Linked DNA regions of Cricetulus griseus. The protein of the gene in region 1 purifies or fractionates together with the protein of each later gene. This does not show direct contact. Links are inferred from orthologs where the notes say so. Each region holds a gene or a part of one and is shown on either strand. Other genes may lie near its edges.

Region 1 (3,748 bases):
TGCTTTCATTCTACAGTAGTGATAACTGCTACTTTTACCATAATTCCTCCCAGATATCTCCAAAGGTGTCTAATCTCTTCTGGCACACTTGGTCCAATTTCAATAGGCCATTCCATCCTCCATTCTCCCCCAAGACTCATGAATCCACCCCTTAGGTGGAGAGGTACTGGGCTAGAAGAAAACCCTACAGTTTCCTGCAGTGAGAAACATTTTTCTATCAAAGACACTTAGTCCCACAAGGACTTATAGTATGTCCTGAACCCTGCTTCCCCTTTGGGTGACTAGCTCATCATGTTATATTGTGAAGTTGTGTTCCCACCAATGGGATGGAATGCAGTCACCATCTAAGTAAGAGGTAAAGGCAGTGGGCATTTTAATGAGTATTTTTGCTCTCTTGGTTTGGGTTCTGGTACACTCACTTTTCAAAAGGAAATCACTTTGTCAAATTTCACTTTGTCTGTGTTCCTTTATGCAACACTGCAATCATTCTTTTCCCAACACTTTCTCCACTTCTTCTGTTTGGGACACTCTCTGCAGCTCAGAAGAAAACAATCCTGAGACCCATAACTAAAAACCTCAAAACACCTCCAATATTCCATTTCTGAAGATCTGGCTCCAAATGCCCTTCCCAAGGCAGCTGAAGTCAGCAACATCCCTGCTCCACTTGGGATTTGCCACTGTGAACTTCACATTCCTGTTCCTTTTTTCATGACTTATTTTTTACTTTATGTTCACTGGTGTTTGCCTGAATGTATGCCTGAGGGTATCAGAGCCCCTGGAACTGGAGTTACAGACATGTGTGAGCTGCCTTGTGAGTGATGGGAACCAAACCAGAGTCTTCTGGAAGAGCACTGAGCACTCTTAAGCACTGAGACGTCTCTCCAGCCCCTTCCTGTTCCTTTTTGAGCTCTTTGCCTCTCTTTACTGGCATGGGGGTTGAATAAGGACAGATGGCCTCTCCCAGTTGACAGCTTTCCTAATTTCTTGTCTAGAAATTTATAATACAGCTTCCATGTCATATTTTCCTTGGGAAAACATAATATCTATCAGAAGTCCCCCGCTTTTGCTTATACACATAAGTATATGGCACCTGCTAGATGCAGACTAAATGCTTGAAGAACGGTTAATTTTTCCCTCGGCAGCCATGTGGAACCTCGGCAGACAATGTGTTTGTATGGTGTGTTTTGCTGTCGCCAGTCAGGGGCCCTCCTGGAGGCTGGCAAGACACAAAGAAGCGTAGGTCCTTGTCATCAGGATGCTCGCTGCCTCAGAGCCCCATTTTCACACGGCGCTCACCGGCGTCATCCGTTCTTCCTGCCAGTCCCAGGGCGGGGACTGGCGGGGGGGGGGTCCTTGTTGGTGTTTTGACCCTTCTCTGTCATGCGAACTAGAAAAAGATGACTGAAATAGGTCCCCTACTCCTGACTGCTTAATTTAGCCGTCTGGATACCAGTCGCCTAGCAACACTTGCCCGCCTACGCCCAGCGCGCAGGCTCAGACCCTTTCCCCACCCGGCCTCCCGGGCGCACATCTGTGACGTAAGCATCCAGCGACTCTCGGCAGTACCGCACGCCTGGTACCATGGCTTCCTCCGGGGTGACCGGTGGGAGACAGGCCGAAGATACACTGCAGCCACCGCCCGAGCTGCTGCCGGAGTCCAAGCCGCTGCCGCCGCCTCAGCCTCTACCGGTCGCCGCGCTCCCGCCGCCGCCGGCTCCGCGCCCTCAGTCCCCCGCAGGCGGGAAGGAGGAGAATTACTCCTTTTTGCCGTTGGTTCACAATGTCATCAAATGGTAAGGGCCTAGGAGAGGTCAAGACACCAACTTTCCCGGCCTCTGGTGTTGCTGGTTCGGTCCGAGCAGCGGAAGCCAGCGCGCTCTGAGCCACGCCCCATTTTCCCAGAGGAGCCGCACAGTCGCCTTTTGAGTTCAGCCACCTCCCAGGCCTTGAGAGTTACACTGTGCATCCAGGTGAAGCTCACATACTGAGCAAATTCACAGGTTCTACGGTGCACTCCTCTTGTTCGCATCCCAGACCCCTCAGCGTCTTTGGGATGGGTCTCAAGTCCTTACACATATAGTCTGATGGCAACTTTTGTTTTGTTTTGTTTTTCGAGACAAGGTTTCTCTGTAGCTTTGCAGGCTGTCCTGGAACTCACTCAGACCAGGCTGGCCTTGAACTCACAGAGATCCACTTGCCTCTGCCTCCCGAGTGCTGGGATTAAAGGCATGAGCCACCACCACCTGGCTAAAGGCAATTGTTTTATTTTTCTTCCAGACAGTGTTTCTTCCCTGTGTAACAGCCCTAGCTGTCCTGGAACTTGCTTTGTAGAAGCAAGCCTAGAATTCAGAGATCGCCTACTTCTGCCTCCCGAGTGCTGGAATTAAAGGTGTATGCCACCCCTCCCGGCTACCTAAAGGCAATTTTATACAATTGACTGTTCATATGAAGCCTAGTGTGGGATTTTCCATTTGTAGCATTATGTGGTCCCCTTAAGAGTTTTCGAATATTTGTGGATTTTAGATGTGAGATTCTCACCTTGAACACAGTTCCCGTTTCAATACTAGGCAGTATCTTTACTTGTGTGGCACTGTTAAGTACTGTGGATGAACACTGGAAAGGAACCATCAGTTTACCATCACAGTAAGAAGCAGAGCAGAGAAAAACAAACATAATAGTCTATGATTTTTACAACTGGAGAGGGGTGGAGTGATGCTAGAAAACATTTGAAACAAAGACACGGAAGTTGCTCCAAATGATTATGTCCCACCCAGTATTAACTTTCAACAGAATATCCAAGGATGTGGGTGTTACCTTTCTGACCCAGAGTCTCCAGTCTCCAATCTGGCTTACATTTTTTTGTTGTTGTTGTTATTTCCATATACAGTTGTGTCACTTCCAAGAGGTGACTTGTCCTGCAAACATTCTCATCTCAAGTGTGCTTTGATAAACTTAGGTGGTGCAGGACAGTTACTCCATGGGGCCTCTTGGTGCTGTCAGGATTCTTGGTAACAGCAAGAGAGTGTTGGATGGCTTGGTGGGTGAGACTACTTGCTTGCTGTGAAAGCAAGACAATCTGAGCCTGAATCCCCAGCATCCACATAAAAAGCCACTCATGGCTGCTCATACTTGTAGCCCAGCATTTCAGGGTAGAGACAAACAGATCTTGAGAGCTCTGGCCAGCCAGCCTGGCTGAAACCGAACTTCCATTCATCATGTGACCTTGTCTCAAAGCAATAAGGTGAAGAGCAACAGAAAAAGACAACCTACCTTAGCACGACTGCCTGCACACTCAGCAGGCATTCACAGACACAAATAGCAACCCCAACGCACATATAAGGCATACCACACATACATAATAAACAAAAAAGAGTCTTGGCAGCATGGGACGTATGAAAGTTGCTGCTGGTATATTAAGACATTCTGTTAAAAGGGGGGTTTTAATTATATATTTGTTTGTTTGAGAACAGGGTTTTTGCTACAAAGCCCACACTGCCTTTGACCTTTTGATCCTCTTATCGCAGCTTCCTGAGTACTGGGGCTACAGGCGTGTACCATTACACCTAGCAACTGTGAATCTCTTAGTAGGAAGGAGTGTGCTTTAAAATCATAGTAAAAAGTTCATTATAGTAAATGCATAAACTAGTGACATCACTATTTATATCCTTATCAAGCATTAGGCACTACCTGTAATTGTATATGCTATACTTTCATATATCTGGCAAAATTATTGTGGGTTTTTTTTCAC
Region 2 (3,748 bases), on another chromosome or scaffold:
TGGTCTACATAGTGAGTTCTAGGACAGCCAGGACTACCCAAAGAAACTCTGTCTTGAAAAACCAAAAATAAGTAAACAAATAAAAACAAACAAACAAATAAATACAAAGATAAAGGACAACTGCCCAAGGACAAAAATTAAATGTTTACTCGGTAACATTTTAGAGGGACCAATGTGACGGCTCAGTGGGTAGAGGTGCTTGCTGCCAAGCCTGATGACCTGAGTTCAATCCTTGATACCCACCTAATGAAGGGAAAGAACTAACTCCCACATGTCCCCTGACCTCTACAGGTGTGTTGTGGCAAGCACAAGGCCGCTCCCAAACAAATAAAATGTAATAGAAAAATCTAATTAAATCCAGTACAAATATCAAGCCTGAGGACTTGAGTTCAATCCCCCACCCACACAGTGGCAGAGAAATGACTCCCACAAAATATGCAAGAGCGCCTGTATACACGTGCGTATATACACATACACACACATTTCAAAAATAAATAAAGCTTAACTCTGCCTACTAAATATATTGTATGATCTCCTAAAAAAGTCAGCATTCTCTTTGGGTCTTGTTTTATCATTGAGCCTTTATCTCTGTCTTCTGGGCTTTAGGACAGAGCTAAAAAAAATAAAATAAAATTTAGGGGTCATTACAAGACTCAAGCAAAAGCCGGGTGGTGGTGGCACACGCCTTTAATCCCAGCACTTGGGAGGCAGAGGCAGGTAGATGTCTATGAGTTCAAGGCCAGCCTGGTTTACATTGCAGGCCAACCAGGGATATATATAAAGTGAGACCCTGTCTTCAAAACCAAAACCAAACGAACAAGCAAACAAACTACCCCCTAAGAGTCAAGTAAGTAGATACAATGCTTGAGATACTCAGTGCAGAATAGAGATTCGGAAACAGGAACTTAGCACGGCCTGGTAGCCTAGGTCTGCAATTCTAGCTAATAAGGAGTCCAGGGCTATCTAAGACCCTGTTTCCAAAAATACAAAAACCATGTAAATATAAGACATAATTCTGTCAAGGATATAATGCCAAGTAAAAGAAACCTGTCACAAACCAGTCATTTCACTTCTTTGGGGCATCTAAGCAGTGGATGAAGAAAACAAGGTGTGGAGGTGATCAGTGTCAGTCGAGAGGCAGAAAAAGTAAAGATGAAAGAAAATGAAGCAGGGGGGTGATGGTGCACACCTTTAATCCCAGCACTTGGGAGTTTGAGGCCATCGTGGTCTACAGAGTGAGTTCCAAGACAGCCAGGGCTACAGAGAAACCCTGTCTTGAAAAGCCAAAAAGAAAAAGAAAAAAGAAAAGGCAATTGTTTATGGTGCATCTCGTTAAACCCAGGTACCTGAGGCCAGACTGGTCTGTGTGGTGAATTTCTGGCCACTGAGTCAACCTTCCCACCCTACCTCCTTTAAACATACTTACAGGGAGACAGAAACTGTGTGGTTGACTTTGTTAGCTTTATCTCTACTTACTCTGACCAAAAAAGAAAAGGAAGGAAGGAAGGAAGGAAGGAAGGAAGGAAGGAAGGAAGGAAGGAAGGAAGGAAAAACTTGGCAATTAATGCAAGCTCCCTGGCTCACTTACCCTGCAGGAGGTACTCCATCATGTTAATGGTGCCCCCAGTGACTGGCATCATGGTGACTGGAGGGGCCTCCATGGTGACGGTCAGGTAAACACGGGATACACCTGGAAGAGTCACACTTGTTTGTACACTGGAGCGGTTAGTAGCGTGGCTCCGGCACTGAAATCAAGACTCAGGCATTCAGAACTTCGCATTTATTTATACAGCCCGCTCCATGAACAGGCGACACAGAAACAAGGGTTCTGGCCACGGAGATACGGCGTAACCTTCTAATCTCAAATTCTGAACCCTCTAAGTTTCCTAGGTAATCTTGAGGCAGCTGTGCAACCTCTTTTTCTGGAACTTACTCTTTTAAATAAGACTAGGGGCATTTAACCGCCCAGCCTCCCTCCCCCAGCTACGTGGCTCAAACGAAACAACCGACATACAACTAAATTCAGAAAAAGTAGAGTCACCTTTAGGCTACACAGAGGCCCCGTTTGCAAACATAAATAAAAGCTGGCCGTGCTGGGGCACATCTGTAATCCTAACGCTCGACAACAGAGTTAGGAAGACGGCTGCAGGTTCGAGGCCAGACTGGTCTACCTAGCAAGTTCCGGCCAACCGGGGAATCGCAGTGAGACCTCTAAAAACCCAAAACAGAAGATCCGAAGGCGACCTAAGGACCTTCACCCTAGGCGGACGCCAAGGAGACTCAGGGAGAGGCGCCAGGGTACACGGGGGTCCGCCTGGAACAGGGCTCGGCCTTTTTCCCCTTTTCAAACGAGCCAGGCGGGAAGCGTGACTAAAGTGACGGCACCGGTCCTCCCACGCCGGGATCCCGGGCACGTGTGCACTTACACTAGCAACACGCCTCCGTGCACGCCGCAGCTCCCCGCGAAGCTGGAATTAAGTCCACGCTTGCACACTCGCACCCACAGATACCAAAATCCCGCCAGAGAAGATGCAGGCATCCGCCTTCCGCACTTCCGGCAGGAAGCTGACGGACAGGAAACCTAGGCCCTGAAGCGCCGAGAAGTAAGGGTGCCGAGAGGGCCAGGAATGAGCCTGCCTCCTGGCACCGGGGGCAAGAGCGCATGTGCGAAGTGCGGCGCTGCCTTGCGAGGGGGTCCTGGTCTGGAGCGGTGCGCTGGGGATAACTGCAGGGCCTTACGTCATAGGGCAGCTCTAGGATAAGTGGCGCTCTCCCCCACAGCTCCGACGACCTGGGTGTCTTGATCAGATCTCTCCAAACTGATTGGATACTATGTTTAAATTGTGAACTGAGCCACTGGGGAAAGAGCCGCATTGATAGCATCAGATAGCTCAAGGTGACAGAGGTCTGATGCGCTCCCCAGCTAAGCACAGCGTTGTGCCTGTATGGGCCTCAGTGCTAACACTGAATGTTTTGTGTGTTTTCAAAGGTCTGGAGAAATAGCTCAGTGCTAGACCCTTTCCCTGGCCTGTGCAAACTTAATACAACAGCAAACTTGTATAATTTCCTGTACAAACCTCAACTTTACGTACAGGGAACCATGCGGGGCGTTGGTGACGCACGCCTTTAATCCCAGCGCTCCCGAGGCAGAAGCAGGCGGATCTCTGTGAGTTCGAGGCCAGCCTTGTCTACAGAGTGAGTTCCGGGACAGCCTCCAAAGCTACACAGAAAAAACCTGTCTTGAAAAACCAAATAAAGGAATGAATGAATGAATGAATGAATGAATGAATGCAGGGGACCAGGCACAGTCTGAATCAGAACTCGGAAGGCTGTGGTAAGAATCTCTCCAGCAGAACTGTTCAAGACTTAAACAACATTGTGAGACTTTTCAAAAATAAATAAATAGGGGAGAGGCTCAGCAGTTAAGAGCACTTGCTGCTTTTTTTTTTTTTTTTTTTTTTTTTTTTTTTTGGGGGGAAAGGTTTCGAGACAGGGTTTCTCTGTGGCTTTGGAGGCTGTCCTGGAACTAGCTCTTGTAGACCAGGCTGGTCTCGAACTCACAGAGATCCACCTGCCTCTGCCTCTGCCTCCCGAGTGCTGGGATTAAAGGCGTGTGCCACCACTGCCCGGCTTTTTTTTTTTTAATCATTTTTAAAGATTTTATTTATTAATTATGTATAGAATATTCTGCTTCCATGTATATCTGCACACCAGAAGAGGGCACCAGATCTCATTACAGATGGTTGTG
Region 3 (3,748 bases), on another chromosome or scaffold:
CTGGTGCATTTGCCTACTGAGCCATCTTGCCAGCCCAGCAGTTCATTCTTATGTCCTCACTTCACTATTACACAGACTATCATTCCTATCATAGTGGTCGTATACAGTTCTCACTCTGTTCTGCCAACCAGCCTCCTTACCTCCACTCTCTGATTCTCGTTCCTCTTTGCTAATTTTCTCCAAAAGGTTTGAGCACATTTTATTCAAGCTCTGGATCTGCTTCTGCAACACACAGGAATTGATGTAGTGATTAGAAATGACTCTGGGAAAGCATCTTCCTTGTGCTCTTCCAAAGGCAGCCTAGCTGTAACCAACCACAGACTCCTACTACCCAGGCTTGGTAAAGTCTTGCTTCTTATGAAGGGATGGGGATGGGGCAGCAGGGCAGTGACTCAGTCCAACCTGAGCTGCATCAGCACCAATTCTGGCAGCATCTGTTGTCAGCTGCTTCTCCTGCTCTTCAACTTCAGGGTCAGGCTTGGTTCTCAAATGGTCAGGGACGACCTCATGGCTGAAAACAGGCACTCGTCCTTCAGTCTGACGCTGTAACACAGATTGTATTGATCCTATTGTGCTATCCAAGTAAGCCGATTCTAACCCAGTTTCTCTTCCGTGGGAAACTGCATTTTTAGAGACAACACAACCTGAGACACAAATGTAGCTTTCTGTGGCTTTGTCTTTTCACATACACTCTATCAGAACTAGGACAAAATAAATTCCACCCTCCACAACCGCACTGTAATTTTCTTTTTGTTGTTGTTTCTATTTTGTTTTGGTCTTTCGTGATTCCCCACCCCCATTCTGGGGACCAAACCAGGACTTTTTTCTACCACTGAGCTAAATTCCTAACCCCACATTTTAAAGACTGATTGGACAAAGTTACAGGCAAGCAGAACAGACTTTTTTTTGGAAAAGAAAGGTCATGGACTTAGTTGACATGGCCTTGGCTTTCACAACATTATTTAAGAGTGACTCCTGACTCCAGAAGGACAAAAAAGCAAGTCTTCCAGATAGCAGCCCCTACTTTTCATTGCTATACAGAGGGTCCAATCAACAACTGTGCTCCAGACTTTCATTTAAGGACCTGATTTCCCTGGTTCAATCCTTTCTTCTTACCATGAGGTCTTCATCTCGATCTGGGGACAGCACCAAAGGGATGATGACCTGGTTACGGAACAGTGGTGTCTTCTCATGCTTTAAGACCTTGTTCAGAGTGTTCAACTGTCCAGAGAGCAATGCAAAGCTATCCAGGACAGAGGGCCTGCGGGTGGTAGGAAGTCATCAGAACTACTTTTCCCTATAAAGTAATCTCTAAAGTTCTAATGCTGGAACACCCAGACTCACCCCCAGAAGACTCACAGCCCTATGACTAGCCTAGGCAAGAACCAGATTTTCTAGCAGAGATGATGGAGTTGGGAAAGAGGAGCACACTGTCAATTTCCAACACGGACACACAGACGTAGAAAAAAAGCAACTCTTTTCCTTTTGGGGGGGTGAGGGGGCAGGGTTTCTCTGTGTAGCCCTGGATGTCCTGGAACTCACTCTGTAGACCAGAATGGCCTCAAAATCACAGAAATCCACCTGCCTTTGCCTCCTGAGTGCTGGAATTAAAGGTGTGTGCCACCACTGCCAGTCGTAACTCATTGTTTGAATGGGATTGGAGGTAGTGGAAAACAGAAACTGTGGTTACACTGTGGTAACTAAAAATTCTTTAAGTGGATAAAAGCCTCCTTTCTAGCCTAGTTAACAGAATCCATCATTCCAGAGTAGGGTGGATCTCAGATTCAGCCACATCTGTGGAAGGAGATCCAGCATGAATATAGCTTTAATGGTTCCCCACTGGGGGAACACCTCCTCACCAAAGAAGTCAAAGCGTAAGAATTAAAACCTCGAAACAGCCTACGTTGGGAAACTGGGCATTTCTCTACTTCCTTGCCATGGAGGCTTTAAGCCAAACTATACTTGTCAATGTTGGGCAACCTAGTTCTTGCCAAATCAAAAAGGATATTTGCAAACTGATAAATAGTTACATCATTGGAGATGTCCTGTCAGCCCGGGGGCTTGGCCCCACCACCCATGGATTCCCTCCCCGGCTTGCCCTGGCAATCCTTACCAAGTCAGCCGGTCATACTCGTTTTCCAACTTGTAAATGAAACTCCCCAGTGAATTCTTCAGATCGGCCACTTGATTCAGCAGTGCATCTAAGGATGCCTCAAGCTGCTTCTCCTCCCTCTGCATCAACAGTATGCTTGGTTACTCAGATACGAGCGATCGTGGCACATACAGAAAAGCTAAATTGGTTTCTATCTTGGTATTTGGGTTACAGACAGCATCAACCCTTAGACCTTTCAACCTGTTCACCTGGCCTGAAGTCCTCTTACCAATTGATTCCTTCTATCAACCTCCTACACTATGGCCCTTCAAAAGGAACATTACACCAGACCTAATTCCCTTCTGCTTATGACCTCACCATTTTGTCTTCATAACAAAACTGGCTTAGAACTGTTTATCACTTAGCCCTTCATCTTTTCACTTCGATTCTCTTCTCCTCCCAGCTCAAAAGACTGCCTCTCTTAAAAGCCAACATTCTCTTAATCTGCAGATGCTCAAGCCAAAGCACAATCTTCTTTGTTAAGTCTAGCCTTTTCTGGAAAACAGTCTGCCTACCACGCAGCTGCTTGATGTCCTAACTCTGCTTTCCTTGGGCATATAGAGAATCCTTGTATTGTGTCATTCTGTGGAGTTGGTATTGCCACATTTCTTTCAGAAAGTTCAGTACATGTTAGAAAGGTTTGCCAAGGTAACAGGGGTGCTGTCGGCATATAAGGCCAGAAGGCACACCTGAGGTTCATTATCTCATTACCTCATGGGTGCCTCTATAGTACATGCAAGCCATTATCCTCTGCCCTGTGAGTGCAGCTACTCTCAACACAATCTGGAGAATCTCACATTTTGCCCGTATCTGAGGCTGTCTCTGAACACCAGCTCTGCAGCTCCCCTCCCCAACTGGTCCTTTGCTGAGTCAATGTGTACTCCTGCATCTCTGTGCCAGTATTCCAGTGTCTCTTTCGTAAACTCGGGTGACCCATAAACAGTCACTGTAGGAATACCAGGTGCAACAAACTGAGTAATGGAAGACAAAGGCGAGGAAACCAACACATTCTTTCTGGACGTTAGACAATTTTAAATGCTGTGTTGGCAGAGGGTTTCCGTTTGACCATCTGTGGTCTATTTACTCCACTTCTGCGCCCTAAGCAACGGGGTACAAGGCGGGAAGAATGACACAAAGCTGATTTGCAAACCCGAGAATGTGAAGGATGAGGTTGGATACTAGGTTCCACCCACAGCCTCGGATTACAAACTGCTTAGTTTTCGTCCTTGGCGGCCCACAATCCCTTCAGCCTTCTGAAGCCTTGTTGCGCCTGTGCCCAACAGTCGAGGTCGAGGGCTGTCCCAGCCCACTTCTTTCTCTAGCCTTCCCAAATGCCAATTCGATCCTTTCACACAGTCAAGCAAGTCGGCCGTGCCTTTCCCCCTAACCCACGCCTCTGACCCTCTGGCGTTAGCGCGCTAAATCCCCGCGCCCCCCGCAGCTGTCCTCGTCCCTTCCGGCTTCGCCGCCTTTCCCCAAACAGCCGAGGCCTCTGCCCTATCCTCACAGCTCCAACTTCCCAGAGTCCTCGGCCCGCCCACCCTCCAGCCGGTGGCTAGCGGCTGGGAGGCCCAACCGGCTTCTCACCTGCATTGC

Evidence for each region. The genes of interacting proteins can lie anywhere in the genome.
Region 2: the proteins of Med9 (region 1) and Med18 purify together in Homo sapiens (affinity purification with mass spectrometry; 6 studies listed by BioGRID and IntAct, counting the BioPlex papers as one, with this or other methods). This does not show direct contact. The link is inferred for Cricetulus griseus from reciprocal best matches to the Homo sapiens genes MED9 and MED18.
Region 3: the proteins of Med9 (region 1) and Med8 purify together in Homo sapiens (affinity purification with mass spectrometry; 5 studies listed by BioGRID and IntAct, with this or other methods). This does not show direct contact. The link is inferred for Cricetulus griseus from reciprocal best matches to the Homo sapiens genes MED9 and MED8.

The regions. Positions count from the first base shown.
Region 1 is NC_048600.1:74,064,551-74,068,298, forward strand, and holds the start of Med9 (mediator of RNA polymerase II transcription subunit 9), read left to right. Parts: upstream 1-1,545; 5' UTR 1,546-1,581; coding exon 1,582-1,793; intron 1,794-3,748.
Region 2 is NC_048595.1:20,800,326-20,804,073, reverse strand, and holds the start of Med18 (mediator of RNA polymerase II transcription subunit 18), read right to left. Parts: upstream 2,581-3,748; 5' UTR 2,427-2,580; intron 1,746-2,426; exon of another isoform or gene 1,691-1,745; 5' UTR 1,662-1,690; coding exon 1,589-1,661; intron 1-1,588. UniProt on the Homo sapiens protein: Component of the Mediator complex, a coactivator involved in the regulated transcription of nearly all RNA polymerase II-dependent genes.
Region 3 is NC_048595.1:33,902,708-33,906,455, forward strand, and holds the start of Med8 (mediator of RNA polymerase II transcription subunit 8), read right to left. Parts: upstream 2,912-3,748; 5' UTR 2,897-2,911; coding exon 2,864-2,896; intron 2,233-2,863; coding exon 2,114-2,232; intron 1,262-2,113; coding exon 1,117-1,261; intron 544-1,116; coding exon 403-543; intron 223-402; coding exon 141-222; intron 1-140. UniProt on the Homo sapiens protein: Component of the Mediator complex, a coactivator involved in the regulated transcription of nearly all RNA polymerase II-dependent genes.